Linked DNA regions of Ovis aries. The protein of the gene in region 3 binds, or shares a complex with, the protein of the main gene of each other region. Links are inferred from orthologs where the notes say so. Each region holds a gene or a part of one and is shown on either strand. Other genes may lie near its edges.

Evidence for each region. Proteins that work in one complex are often made in the same cells at the same time.
Region 1: the proteins of TUBB4B (region 3) and CFAP107 are in contact, whole or in part, in a cryo-EM structure (PDB 9CPB), measured with the Bos taurus proteins. The link is inferred for Ovis aries from reciprocal best matches to the Homo sapiens genes TUBB4B and CFAP107. Residues at the interface, in NP_001029835.1 of Bos taurus: Lys19, Glu22, Asp26, Tyr36, Asp39, Ser40, Asp41, Leu42, Gln43, Leu44, Glu45, Glu53, Gly56, Gly57, Tyr59, Pro80, Leu215, Leu217, Thr219, Thr221, Tyr222, Gly223, Asp224, His227, Leu228, Ala231, Gly244, Gln245, Phe270, Pro272; in NP_001033296.1 of Bos taurus: Thr74, Val75, Glu76, Gly77, Leu78, Tyr80, Lys81, Leu83, Ile84, Thr85, His86, His87, Gln88, Glu89, Gln92, Arg93, Tyr94, Leu95, Ile96, Ser97, Thr98, Asp101, His102, Pro133, Pro138, Thr139, Asn140, Tyr141, Leu143, Tyr144.
Region 2: the proteins of TUBB4B (region 3) and EFHB are in contact, whole or in part, in a cryo-EM structure (PDB 7UNG), measured with the Homo sapiens proteins. The link is inferred for Ovis aries from reciprocal best matches to the Homo sapiens genes TUBB4B and EFHB. Residues at the interface, in NP_006079.1 of Homo sapiens: Asp26, Glu27, Asp31, Pro32, Thr33, His37, Gly38, Asp39, Ser40, Leu42, Gln43, Thr55, Gly56, Gly57, Lys58, Ser78, Gly79, Pro80, Phe81, Gln83, Leu215, Lys216, Leu217, Thr219, Thr221, Asp224, His227, Pro243, Gln245, Phe270; in NP_653316.3 of Homo sapiens: Tyr523, Gly524, Val525, Gly526, Leu528, Ile529, His530, Asn531, Arg532, Tyr537, Arg539, Asp542, Arg545, Ala546, Ala549, Ala550, Arg552, His553, Lys556, Tyr608, Asn624, Phe625, Trp628, Asp630, Lys631, Thr686, Leu687, Leu688, Ser691, Asp692.

The regions. Positions count from the first base shown.
Region 1 is NC_056065.1:54,064,043-54,068,559, forward strand, and holds the start of CFAP107 (cilia- and flagella-associated protein 107), read right to left. Parts: upstream 3,205-4,517; 5' UTR 2,984-3,204; coding exon 2,870-2,983; intron 1-2,869. UniProt on the Homo sapiens protein: Microtubule inner protein (MIP) part of the dynein-decorated doublet microtubules (DMTs) in cilia axoneme, which is required for motile cilia beating.
Region 2 is NC_056054.1:278,197,947-278,202,741, forward strand, and holds the start of EFHB (EF-hand domain-containing family member B), read right to left. Parts: upstream 3,205-4,795; 5' UTR 3,173-3,204; coding exon 2,279-3,172; intron 1-2,278. UniProt on the Homo sapiens protein: Microtubule inner protein (MIP) part of the dynein-decorated doublet microtubules (DMTs) in cilia axoneme, which is required for motile cilia beating.
Region 3 is NC_056056.1:702,610-707,261, forward strand, and holds TUBB4B (tubulin beta-4B chain), read right to left. Parts: upstream 3,034-4,652; 5' UTR 2,954-3,033; coding exon 2,897-2,953; intron 2,617-2,896; coding exon 2,508-2,616; intron 2,432-2,507; coding exon 2,321-2,431; intron 1,802-2,320; coding exon 741-1,801; 3' UTR 614-740; downstream 1-613. Other genes in the region: CIMIP2A (ciliary microtubule inner protein 2A), read left to right, coding at 42-159, 514-602. UniProt on the Homo sapiens protein: Tubulin is the major constituent of microtubules, a cylinder consisting of laterally associated linear protofilaments composed of alpha- and beta-tubulin heterodimers.

The sequences.
Region 1 (4,517 bases), on a different chromosome or scaffold from region 3:
AGATTCTCTCTTTTTCTTTGACTTTCAACAGATTGGTTATAATTGTCTCTGTGTATCTGAGGATTTAACTTATTTGGTCTCCACCGAGCTTCTGGGATTTGTAGATCCATATCTAGTCTGGGAAGTTTTCAGTCATTATTTCTTCAGATAATCTCTCTACCCTTTTCTCTTTTAATTTATCCCATAGTCAGCATATTGGTCAACTTGAGGGTGTCCCACAAGTCTTTGGCCTTTGCTCATGTTTCTTCATTCATTCCTCTTTTTGCTACCTAGGCTCAATAATTTCAAATAATCTATCTTCAAGTTTTCTGATTCTTACTACTGTCTGTTCAAACCCACTTTTGAATGTCTCTAGTGAATTTTTTTCATAAATGTTACTGTATATTTCAATTCCATTTTTTTATTTGGGCTTCCCAGGTGGCTCAGGGATAAAGAATCTGCCTGCATATGCAGGAGACATGGCTTTGATCCCTGGGTCAGGAATATCCCCTGGTAGAGGAAATGGCAACCCACTCCAGTATTCTTGCCTGGAGAATTCCATGGACAGAGGAGCCTGGTGGGTTACAATCTATGAGGTCACAAAGAGTCAGACACGACTGAGTATACACACACACATTTCTGTTTGATTCCTTTTTAGAATTTCTATCTTTCATTAATATTCTCATTTTGCTTATATATTATTTTCCTGATTTCCTTCAATTCTTTGTCCACATTTCCTTTTAGCTTTTTAAGTATATTTAAGACAAGTTTTTGTTGTTGTTGTTTTATTTTTTAGTTTTTCTCTGGTACTACTGCTGCCTGTGTTTCTTCAGGGACTGTTTCTGCCACTTAATTTTTTTCGAGTGGACCATATTTTCTTGTTTCTTTTTAAGTCTTATGTTTGTTTGTTTGTTTTTTGAGCACTTGAGAGAAAAACAGCCATCTCTCCTGGTCTTTGCAGACTGGCTCCACACAAGGAAAGATCTCTACTAAGTAGTGGGCATGTTCTGAGTCTTGGAGTCAGTCAGATATAAAGGTTTTAATTATTCTTCCAACTTTTCTGAACATGAGCATGCATCCTGCCTATGACTCTGTGTCTGTGTGTATCTGTGCTTTTTATTTCTCCTTGTATACACAGCTGCTTTAAAATTCCTTTATTTTTCCAAGAAGCCTCTCTCTGGTTTCTTTTCAGAGTCTTAGATGTTCTGTTGCATTTCTCTACCCATAATTTCTTATCCCCAGACCTTTGCAAGTTTGTAGTCCCCTGTCAGCTTTCACTAACTGTTGACCACTGCTGCTTTCCAAGCTCTTCCTAGCCTGAAATATGAACTACCCACTTTTTCCTGTTTGAGCTCTGAGTTAGCAAAACAGAGACCAATCCCTCCGGCAGCCTCCAGACAAGTTACAGTGTTGCTCCACTCCCTCTGTGTTCCAGGGAGGGAACTGGGAGCTGGGAACTGGTGCTTCTCCCACGCTGCCCCGTGCTGTGCTCGGGCAGGAATGAGGGGAGGGCAGGTAAAAACACCATGGAGTTTCCTACCATTTTGAATGTGACTTTTTCTAAAATGGGCATTTGATTTTTTTTGCTATAGACCTTTGTTTTCCAGAGCTCCCATATATTTCTTTCAATTAGGCTAATAGTTGCTTTTTAAGTGTTTCCATGGGAAAAGAAGGGACCTGGAACTTCTTAGTGTGCCATCTTTCTGAAATTGCTCCAACTCTGCTTTCTTTATGCAATCTCCTCTCAGTCAGTGTAGGATCAGCCCATAATCTCCCCGGGTACTGCTCTGCATACAGGAGCTCAATGGGATTGCTTAACCAGTCTTTCTTGCTCTTGGATTACACACACACACACACTTACTCCACAGACAAAGACAAGTGCAGTCAGAGCTAAAAATGGCCAAAAGCCATGTCTGACCAGAAGAGTGACAAATGCTAAAGTTCCCACATGAAAAGAGCCTTTTCTAGTTCTCAGAAGTCACTATTAACCTTTCCCACACTTACAGCAAACCTGACAATTCTGTCTCACCCTCTTTCCCTTGACTATTTTCCAAGAAGATATGAAGATATCTAGATGTCTGCAGAAACTTAGGTGGGCCAGTCTTGATTGCCACAAATGAAGATACACAATTTTATGCAGGTCAATTTAGGCAAAGTATTTTGAGATGGTCTTTAAGATACATAGGAACACCAAGAGCACACCTGTTCTGGTTTGAAAGTGAAATGTGAAATGCACAGGCAGGGCAAAGTTGTGGAACAGGTGCCAGAGAGCAGAAGTTCATCCCTGGACATCAAGACAAGGAGTGTCAAGCCTGCCTTGGCAGGTAATACATCTGGAAGGACCAACCCAGGGAGAGCAGATGTTCTTCAAATCAAGATGCGGCTGAATTAGGAACAAAGAACATTGGATGCCTAGAAACACTCCACTGACTATAGAACTTCAAGGCACAACCTTATTGACACCTGTACTATGATGTTTTCAAGATATAAATGGGGACTTTGACGACTGCTTGAATGTAACTCCTCTGTGTTAGGGAGTCTCTCTGCACAGAGTTCCTAATGCTACCTTCTTAAGATCTAAGTATTTGTGGCCCTTGATTTAGAAATAATAATACCCTCGGGTGGTACAGTGGTAAAGACTCTGCCTGCTAATGCAGGAGACAAGGGATCAATCTCTGAATCGGGAAGATCCCTTGGAGTAGGAAATGGCAACCCGCTCGATTCTTACCTGGAAAATTCCATGGACAAAGGAACCTGGCGAGCTACAGTTCGTGGGGTGGCAGAGAGTTGGACATGACTGAGTGACTGAGCACATACGCACACAATGCCTTCACTCATCCTCCCTGCCAGGTCTCCTTCTGAGCCCTCTGTCCACCTTCTTTTTTCTTACCTTCCTCCTCTCTTCTGTCCAGTTTCCAGTGAGCACTCTTGTTGAATACTTGGTCTCAATCTTCCAACTTGGCGTGGAGGATGACTGTGGACTTACGGCAGTAAGAAACTGCATTTGTCCCAAGCTTCTTTGCCTTGACACAGTTTAAGTTTTCGGGGTGGGAGATGTTATGAAGCTGCTGAGTTTGGGGTGCCTTTTTTTCTTTTTAGCAGTCAGAATGTAGATGACACCCAGCTAAATTTGCAGGATTAAAGGGCCCTGAGAGTCCACTTTCAGCCTCCAGAAAGAGGTGATGTGATCTTGGATTCCCTACTGTTGACAATCTCCATGGTGATAGACTGTGAGTATAAATACTCTCCTTAAGGGGGCAGCTGATTCCTCAGAAGCAAAATTGATGTTAAAAAGGCAAATCAAACCAACAGCAGTCACCACAAAAGCAGGAGCCAGAAGGACCTGGTTTCCATGTCATGTAACTTCCTGGTTACCAAGAGGTATCATGCATGTTGCATTTTTATACCTAGATGAGCTGAGATGATCACATTCTACCATTTAATGAACGCTGACGTGCTAGGCCCATGCTGAGACCTTTACATGTACTCACTTGTTTAACCCTCAAAGAGTCCTATGAAGCAGGTGCCATAACTGTACCCATTTTATGGATGAGGGCACTGAAGTAAAGAGGGACTAAGTAGCTACCTCAAGTCACACATGTGGAGATCTGAGATTTAAATCCACTCTGATTCAGTTCTTTTACCACTGGGCTCTACTCAATGCCTGTCTGCCCCTTTGCCTAAGGGGCTTCCAGGAAGAATGCTAATAAATATGATTCATTCAGGTCATCTTCATTCATTCATTCCACAGTCATTCTATCAAGCATATGCTACATTCAGAGCACTGACCTGGAATTATTAGTACAATGCATCAGTGGCTAGACCAGGGCTCCTTCCCAACAGAGCTCAGTCCAATGGGATAAAGACAATGACTTTGCTTATTCATTAAGCCAAAAAATCAAGAACCAACCATCTAGATATCTACCAATGGAGGGCTGGCTCAACAAACTGTGGCATATCATATGATGAAATACCTTGTAGCTGTTAAAAAATGCTGACACAGGAAGATGCCTTGCAATGTATGGTTAAGTTAAAGAATCAGTAGGCTTCCCTGGTGGCTCAGATGGTAAAGCATCTGTCTGCAATGCAGGAGACCCGGGTTCGATACCTGGGTTGGGAAGATCCCCTGGAGAAGGAAATGGCAGCCCACTTCAGCACTCTTGCCTGGAAAATCCCATGGATGGAGGAGTCTGGTAGCCTACAGTCCATGGGGTCACAAAGAGTCAGACACAACTAAGTGGCTTCACTTTAAAGAAGCACCACACTGTAGTCTTATTTTCAGTTCTGTTCAGCCTCTCAGTCATGTCCAACTCTTTGCACCCCCATGGACTGCAGTACACCAGGCTTCCCTGTTCATCACCAATTCCCAGAGCTTGCTCAAACTCATGTCCATTGAGTCAGTGATGCCATCCAACCATCTCATCCTCTTCCATCCTCTTCTCGTCCTGCCTTCAATCTTTCCCAGCATCAGGGTCTTTTCAAATGAGTCAGTTCTTCGCATCAGGTGGCCAAAGTTTCAGCTTCAGCATCAGTCCTTC
Region 2 (4,795 bases), on a different chromosome or scaffold from region 3:
GCTGGTCACTTTCTCCTTGAAGCTCTCTTCCCTGTCCTTTCACATTTAGAAAGGAGGATGTGAAAGGCAGGAGGAAGCAGGGGTTTTAGAATTGCCTGTATCGGAAACCGGAAGCTGGCCTCCGCTGCCGCGTGAGGTCGGGTCTGAAGCCGTAGACGGCAGAACCCATCCAGAAAGGAGAAGCAGGCACGGCCAAGTGAGAAGAGGGTGGCTGGGGAAACCCAGCAAAGGAACCAGAGAGTAAAGGGGTCAGAGGCAAAAGAACGCCCTGAGCCCCAAGGGGAACAGAAGTCTGCAGACGCAAGAAGAGAAACTTCTGCAGAATCCCTGTGACCAGTTCAGCGAAACGGCATTCTCTGGTCTCCCCTTTATTCCCGGAACATTTTAAGGATGCTCCCTTTCTGGTCCTCAATACCACCTTCTTCAACTCACCTTTTCCTTCTATCCCACTCGCTCATCCAGCCCTCCTCCTATTTATCCAACATATATTTACTGAATGGCCACTATAAGCTGGGCATTGTGATATGCCATGAAGCTATGCGATAAATACGAGAAAATCCTTGTCCTCAAGAACTCGCATAGTTGGGACGTCTCTGGTGACTCAGTGGTTAAGACTCCACGCTTCCACTGGAGGAGGAGCAGGTTCGATCCCTAGTAGGGGAACTAAGATCCCACATACCACATGGCAAGGCCAAAATGTTTAAAAAATAAAAAAATAAAATAAAATAATTACCTAGCTGACATTCCTTTTTCTGACAGTCTCACATGTTCCCCAAGGTTCCTGCCCAGATCTGCTCGTCCCACCCCCACACACGGCTCCGGCTGTCTCCCTGGCTGTTTCCTCTGGCACCTGCAGACATCTCACACTCAGGACCACAAGCTCCAAGGGTTCCCCAGATACTCATGGGCCACCAAACAGGAAGATGTCTCATTATCAACGGAGAATATCCTAAGTTGTCCATCAACTTCCCTGCCTTTCACCACATAGATCCACAACCGGATGGCAATTCTTGACAATATCCTCTCCTAAAAGCTTCTCAGAATGGCTCTTTCCTATCCATTCTTTCTAACTCTGCATTAATTTCAGGCCATCATTAGCTTGAAATAGCCTAGCTATCCAATATCTTTCCCTTCCAGTCCACCATTATTATTGATAACATCTATATCTTTACAAAAAGCAAATTGTATGTATTTCCTCCCTCATGAAGACCCACCATTGCCCTCTACCCACAGGTTTTACTCCCGCATTGTGGACCTTTCGATTTCTTCCTCATCTCCTACCACTATGCTGGCTAAACAGAATTGCTTACACCTCCCAACTCAAAAGAAGTTTTGGCCATGCTGTATGCCGTTCTCGGCTCAAGGTGCCTCAATCCTATTTCCCATCTGACAAATACTGACACATTTTTTTAAGGACTCAGTTCAGGCACTCAGTCATGTCCAACTGTGACCCCATGGGCTGCAGCACGCCAGGCTTCCCTGTCCATCACCAACTCCCGGAGTTTACTCAGACTCATGTCCATTGAGTCAGTGATGCCATCCAACTATCTCATCCTTTGTAGTCACCTTCTCCTCCCGCCTTCTATCTTTCCCAGCATCAGGGTCTTTTCAAATGAGTCAGTTCTTTCCATCAGGTGGCCAAAGTATTGGAGTTTCAGCTTCAGCATCAGTCCCTCCAGTGAATATTCAGGACTGATTTCCTTTAGGATGGACTTGTCTGATCTCCTTACAGTCCGTGCAGGATCTTAATTCTCCAGCCTGGGATTGAACCCATGACTCCTGCACTGGAACTGCAATCTTAACCACTGGGCTGCGAAGGAAGTGCCCCGACACCTTTCTAAACAAGCTCAAGTACTACTGGCTCTGTAAAGACCTCCCATCTCCTCCAAACAAAACTGTCTGAATTTTCCATTGAGCTCCATGTTTACAGTGTACCTCTATTAAGGAAGAATCACATTTGTTTTCTACTCATATAGACATCTATATAATATTTGTTTAGTTATCGTCTTCAACATTGGAGTGACAACCTAAACCCATAGGGTAGGGACCACGCGCTTTTCAATTGTTAGTGCCCTGGACCCAGCATAATAGTCACAAGTCTTAACTGAAAGGACAAACAAGTCACAGAATAATGAATGGAAAAAGAAAAATGTTTCTGAAAAAACCTACATGAATACTAGGATACAACACGTACTTCAGAAAGGAGATTGAGAAGACGCAGACTGAGGGATGGAATGTAAGTCAAAACAGAAGGGGGAAAGTGTTAGGAAAAACTTACACTTGGCCAGCAAGGCATCCGATCAACAAATTTCCCGGAGTATATGGGTCTGATGGGGTCTGGAGGCTCTACTCCCGGCTGAGTGTTCTCAGCCGCCCTTTGCTCCTCAGGTTGTTGGGCCAGCTGGCACTCAGAAGGTTCTATCACCAAGCCCATCTGGGGCTCCTCTGGGTGGGTGAGCCCCATATCCACCTCCACAGGAGGCGCCGTCTCTGCGCTGGGCTTCATCACCACACAGGCGGACTCTCCTCCCAGTGCCCCTCTACGCTCCATCCCCAAAGCAGGTAGCTTGCCCACTGGCACCACGAACCCTTCCGGGTCACCAGTCACAGGACATCTCCTGCCCCCTGAAGCCTGTGGACTTCCACACGTCTGGCCCAGTGGAGGCTGTGTTACCCTTTCTGGACAATACCCTGCCAGAAAACGCTCCTTTTCTAAACCCACTCTTCCAGGCAACGCACTTAGAGGAAGTTTTGTTTCCTGTGAGGCTGAGACCCCGTGGACTCCTAAATTACTCCCATCCACGAAGGTCCTAGAAATATTCTGTCTTTTCAACCTCAGTTCAAGCCCCTTGCGCGATGGAGATCTTATTTCTGGTGATGCCATCCTCTCCTCATATGCCTTACTACATGGGAAATCTTCTCCTAAGCCCACTCTGAGCCCCAGCTCCGTGGGAGATGTTCCCATGAAGACTCTCCTCTCTTGTAAGTCATCCTTTCCTTCCGGGCCGAGTCCCACCTCCATGCTCAGGGGAGATTTGCTCCCAGCCACCGTCATTCCTGGTCCAAGGGCACTCTTCTCTGAGGGGTAAGCTGTACCGGGCTGGAGGGGAGCTCCTAACCCCTTGGAGGGCCCCAACCCTTTGGGGGACGGCACTCTCAGAAAAGAGCACATCTCCACCCCGAGTCCCTGCCCTTTCAACACCTAGCGGGGTTCGCAGGGAAGAGGAGACAAGGTCTGTTTACCCGGTTACCTGGGAAACGGGGGGCGGGGCTTGGAGTGCCGCTCTGTGCACGAGCCACGCCCATCTCTTCCCTCCTCTTTCTCCCCCATCTCTCCTCTTTCTTACTCCCTTATCCTGGCCTCCTCTCTTACCCTCTCCTTCCACCCCTCTTTAGTCGACTGAAAGGCAAGAAAATTACTTGAAATATGTGGTTCTGGGCTCTAGAGCAGATGATGCCCAACATCTCACAAGGCGGTCCCCTCAGGGTGGGTTCAGCCAGGGGTCTCCTCCCCGCTGCGGGCCTGTTGACTTCACTGGTGTTCAAGGAATTAATAGCCCTCTCTGGTGGTGAGCACCAGTTTCGCGTCCTGGCTTGTGAAAGCACCTGCAAACTGCATGTAGTTCTCTCAGTGCTTAAGAACTCCTTTAAAAAAAAATCCGTGAAGTTGTGTTTGGCAGCTGTGGTAAGGACCATCTTAAAAGTGTGACTTACACTTCAATACGGAGAAGGCAGTGGCACCCCACTCCAGTACTCTTGCCTGGAAAATCCCATGGATGGAGAAGCCTGGTAGGCTGCAGTCTGTGCTAAGTGTCGGACACGACTGAGCGACTTCCCTTTCACTTTTCACTTTCACGCACTGGAGAAGGAAATGGCAGCCCACTCCAGTGTTCTTGCCTGGAGAATCCCAGGGACGGGGGAGCCCGGTGGGCTGCCGTCTATGGGGTCGCACAGAGTCGGACACGACTGAAGTGACTTAGCAGCAGCACACTTCAATAACTATACTTTAAAGAGCATTTCAAGTAAATATATTGAAGCTTGGACTGAGTTCTGCAATAATGCATGATGAAGTTTTGATTTATTTAGGATCGTTGGCTGCACGGCTCCGTTGTGCGCAGCGCGTCTCCAGGTGCCGTGAGCGGGGTCTACTCTCCCGTGGCGATGCGAGGGCTTCTCACCGGGAGCGCTTCTCTTGTCGCAGAGCGCAGGCTCCAGGGCTCAGTAGCTGTGGCTCAGGCTTAGCCTCCCAGAGGCATGTAGGACCTTCCCGGACCAGGCGTGAAACCTGGTGTCATCTGCGATGGCAGATGGGCTCCCAGCCACTGGACCACCAGAGAAGCCGGGAATATTGGATTTTAAAATAATGTGGCAAACTCAAACTTACATACGGGATTTTCTTTAAATTCTTTTAAGTTTTGATGAATATGTATTTGAATATTTGTCATGTTCTACAGATACTAGGGGCTTCTACATATACATCACTACATATACTGGTAGCTCTGCTGGTAAGAATCTGCCCACAATTCAAGAGTCCTGGGTTCGATCCTTGGGTCAGTATTCTTGCCTAGGAAATCCCAGGGACAGAGGAGCCCGGTGTGCTACAGTCCACCGGGTCCCAAAGGAGTCGAACACGACTTTTCAACTAAACAACCACAATAAGGGATAGATAACCATCGAGTAAACCAGTGAATAAAGTCATTTCACAAGATGAGTGAAGAGTGTTATGAAGAAAATGGAACACTGTGATATGGAGGGAAGCCCCTCTAGAATCAGCAGGCTCAGCAGTCCCTTTGGC
Region 3 (4,652 bases):
GGAGGCAGGACATGGCAGCGCTGACCTGCCTGTCTCCCTAGTTTCTGCTCAGAAATCCCATCTGTGCCCTGGGCGAGAGGCTGCCCAGCACACACTGGCCCAGCAACGGCGTCTACAGAAGCCAGGGCCTGATCCCTTTCTACATGGGCTTCATACCATGTGAGTGCGGGGGGGCCCCTCCTGGAAGAGGTCGTGGCGACAGGCCACTGAGGGGCGGGGCCAGGGGCTGGGCCCTCTTAGCCAGGCCTAACCTCAGGCAAGGTTCCCCTGGGACAGGATAACCCAAAATTCCCTCAGTGCCTCCGCTTCCCCAGTGCGGAAGGGGCTCACTGACAACCCTGACTAAAAGCCAAAAGGCCAAGTGCCTGCAGACCACACGCTGGCCTCCTGGGGGTTTCCTGTGCACAGGCTGGGCCCACCTCTGGGAGGCAGCCCCCGGCCCCCGCAGCAGCCCTGCGCGCTCCCCATGCGCGCAGTGAGCCCAGGGGCTCAGCGGCAGCATCCCCCTCGCAGCCATGCAGGACAACTACGCACTGACCTTCGCCAACAGCACCCGCAGGGCCTATCGGAAGGAACTGGAGAGGCGTGGCCAGACACTATGAAAACGCTTTAATGGTGGTGGCTGTACAGCACGCGATGTCGAGACAGGAAAGAACACACACACAGTGAGACAGACTATCAGAGCGGGCTGTGAGTGAATAAAGAGTTCCCACGGCCTCAGCCTTCTGGCTCCGGCCGCTCTAGGCCACCTCCTCCTCCGCCTCCTCCTCGAACTCGCCCTCCTCCTCAGCCGTGGCGTCCTGGTACTGCTGGTACTCAGACACCAGGTCGTTCATGTTGCTCTCGGCCTCAGTGAACTCCATCTCGTCCATGCCCTCGCCCGTGTACCAGTGCAGGAAGGCCTTGCGCCGGAACATGGCCGTGAACTGCTCCGAGATGCGCTTGAACAGCTCCTGGATGGCCGTGCTGTTGCCAATGAAGGTGGCCGACATCTTCAGGCCGCGCGGCGGGATGTCGCACACGGCCGTCTTCACGTTGTTGGGGATCCACTCCACGAAGTAGCTGCTGTTCTTGTTCTGCACGTTGAGCATCTGCTCGTCCACCTCCTTCATGGACATGCGGCCCCGGAAGACAGCGGCCACGGTCAGGTAGCGGCCGTGGCGCGGGTCGCAGGCGGCCATCATGTTCTTGGCGTCGAACATCTGCTGGGTGAGCTCGGGCACCGTCAGTGCCCGGTACTGCTGGCTGCCCCGGCTTGTTAGCGGGGCAAAGCCGGGCATGAAGAAGTGCAGGCGGGGGAAGGGCACCATGTTGACGGCCAGCTTGCGCAGGTCGGCGTTGAGCTGGCCCGGGAAGCGCAGGCAGGTGGTGACCCCGCTCATGGTGGCCGACACCAGGTGGTTCAGGTCCCCGTAGGTGGGGGTGGTCAGCTTCAGCGTGCGGAAGCAGATGTCGTACAGCGCCTCGTTGTCGATGCAGTAGGTCTCGTCCGTGTTCTCCACCAGCTGGTGCACGGACAGGGTGGCGTTGTAGGGCTCCACGACGGTGTCCGACACTTTGGGCGAGGGCACCACGCTGAAGGTGTTCATGATCCTATCTGGATACTCCTCCCGAATCTTGCTGATGAGGAGGGTGCCCATCCCAGACCCAGTCCCCCCACCCAAGGAGTGGGTCAGCTGGAAGCCCTGCAGGCAGTCACAGCTCTCCGCCTCCTTCCTCACGACATCCAGCACCGAGTCGACGAGCTCCGCCCCTTCCGTGTAGTGTCCCTTGGCCCAGTTGTTCCCGGCACCGCTCTGACCTGCAAGAGAGGGCAGCCGGTTGCTACTCAGCCAGGCGTGTGCTCACCACTGATCACTCGTGCCAAAAAGGCCAAACGACACACCGTGTGGATGACGCACAACCCCACCCCGCGGGTGTAGCAGACAGGCCCCCAGACGGATACGGTAGCGACGTACCCGAGGAAACCCGCTAACACGGTTCAACAACAAACCAGCCCCTCCCACGGGCAGCCTCTGCCAACTCCCAAGAGCAGACGAGCTGCCACTGCCTCCAGCTCAGCCTTCCCGGCAGGGAGATTACATCTGCCTGCTCCTTCCCGGCAGGCAGACAGCTGGGCCTTCTCGGCAAAGCCGCTTTAGGTGAGGGGATTGACTAACTCTTGAGAGGAGGAGGGCGTCCTGGAACCCAGCTTCTACTGAGGATACAGAGTGGATCAGAACTTCGGCTCTGCGAGTCCTGAAGATGGCGACACTGGGCACCCCCTGACCTTTGCGCCGTCCTGTCTATCGGCCGCCACCCACCCCGATCCGCGGCTCACCGAAGACAAAGTTGTCCGGCCTGAAGATCTGCCCGAAAGGCCCCGAGCGCACAGAGTCCATGGTGCCCGGCTCCAGGTCCACGAGCACAGCGCGGGGCACATACTTGCCACCTGGGGGGCGGGAGGGCGTCAGCGAGGGGAGGGCCGCGGGGCGGCACGGGGGTGGGGAAGGGGCGCGGGGCCTCACCGGTGGCCTCGTTGTAGTACACGTTGATTCGCTCCAGCTGCAGGTCGCTGTCCCCGTGGTAGGTGCCGGTGGGGTCGATGCCATGCTCGTCGCTGATCACCTCCCAAAACTACGGGAGACGCGGGCGGGCCGGTCCAGGGCTGAGTCACGCCGGAGGTGCCCGGAGCCGACCCCGCCCCGGACGGCGCGGCGCGGCGCGGCCCGGCCTTCCCTTCCCCCGCCGCCCGGCCGTCCCCACAGACCCCAGCCGCTGCCCGCCGCCCTGACCCCGGTTGCGGCGCCGCGAGGGGCCGCAATGCGGGGGCGCCGCCCGCCGGATGCCGCCATCTTTCCCGCCGCCAGCCCGCCCCGCCCGGAGGACCCGCGCCGGCCCAGACGTCCCCGCTCACCTTGGCGCCGATCTGGTTGCCGCACTGGCCGGCCTGCAGGTGCACGATCTCCCTCATGGCGGCGGCGGCGGCTGCAGCGGGGGCGGCTGCGGAGGAAAGAGCCGAACGAATGCCGAAATGCGGGCGCGCAGAGTGCTACAACCGACGCTGCGCCGGCGCTTATATACCCGCCGCGCCCGCCCCCGCCAGCCTCTTACTGGGCGTCCAGAGCGAGGCTGGCAGGCGGCTTCGTTTGATTGGCTGTAACCCCGTCAATCGGGCTGCCCAAGGCCCGCCTTCGCGGCGCCGCTCGCTCTTTATTGGTCCGTCGCGGCCTCTGCACTCCCTATCCAAGTTCCCCCCCTCGCTCTGCGGTCTTCTGACCATTGGCTGTTTCAAATGATTGATTTGTGCTCCCATTGGCTGGCTCCTCAGAGCACGCCGACAGCCTTCCGCTATTGGCTGGCGGGGCCGGCGTCCTGGTAACCGCCGCAGTGCCGCGGGGACCGGCGCGGGCGGGGCGCGGGCGCGGGCGCGGGCGCGGGCTCGGGCGGGGCGCTGCGGGGGCCGGCCGAGCCCCGGGCAGGCGGGCGGGGCGCGCCCCGTGGCCCTCGCGCGGGCCCAGGCCTCGCTGTGCGCCTTTTAGAGGGCGGCCAGGCTCATCTTGCGGAGTCTTGGAGCGGAGGAGGGGCTCGGCGCCGTTCACACGGACTCCCTCGGGGATCGGGGGCCGAGGGGCGGCGGCGCCTGGCCCGCCCCCTGAGCTTTGGAGGCCGCCTGCCCCCTTCCTCGGTCCTCAGGCCCGCACGGGTCGTGGGCAGGTGGGCGAGCGCGTGGGGCCGCGGCGCCCGGCTGCAGAGAGGTGGGCGCGGGGCGGGCGGAGCAGGACGGGGCCCTGCCCGGCAGCGGCTTGCGGCTTGTTGTGGAGACCGCGCTGGCCTGGCGCCTGTTGCCTTGGTGCCTTGGCCCCAGGAGCTCACAGACCCGCGTGGAGACACGAGGGCCGCGCCCAGGTCTCTGGGCAACCACAGATAGGTACACCTGGCTGAACAAATGCTTGTACTTTTCCTTGAATTTTGTTTGGAGGGGAAAAAAAAAAAAAACTTATTAAAAAAAAAAACAGTTAACTTGCATGTAGTCACACTTTTAATCAATCATTTCAAAAACAGTACGCTTGCGTTATGTTTTCGTAATGTTCGCCATGGACAGTCTCTCTCGCTGTGGCCACGGGTCCTCTCTCGATTCTGGTTTTCTCAGTGAGGTTCTTACCCTCGTTTGCTCTCCAGCCCATGGATGTTGTGGGCAACCCCTGGTCATTTCTACCTAGAGAGATTGTGCTTGCTCTTCACCGTGTACTTCATGACAGCGCCGTTTCCTGGCGTGCTGCAGCATTAGGGCACTTCACGGTACACTTAATCTGGGGGTGAAACGGTTGGTAGATAGCACGCTGGCATAGGGATGAGTCTTTCCATACCCTGAGAGTGGTCTGCAGCTGCAGTCCTGAGCCTGACCTGAAGCGTGAGTCAGCATGTCAAAGTAATAGTTCCTGAAGAGCTTAGGGGACCAGCCCCTTCCCCTGCACTAGTCCAGGAAGGTGGGCCCGGCTGGTGCTGGCCACAGGCAGTGGCTTGTCGTGTGTGCAGGGTCCCTGCCTGGCATCTAGCTCTGCAAAGTAGCTTAGCTGCCCAAGCAGGCCTGCGAGGCCCTGCACTGCAGCAGGGAGGCTGCACCGAGTCGTCACGGATCAGCGAGAAAGGGAAAAACTCAGACTTTGCTC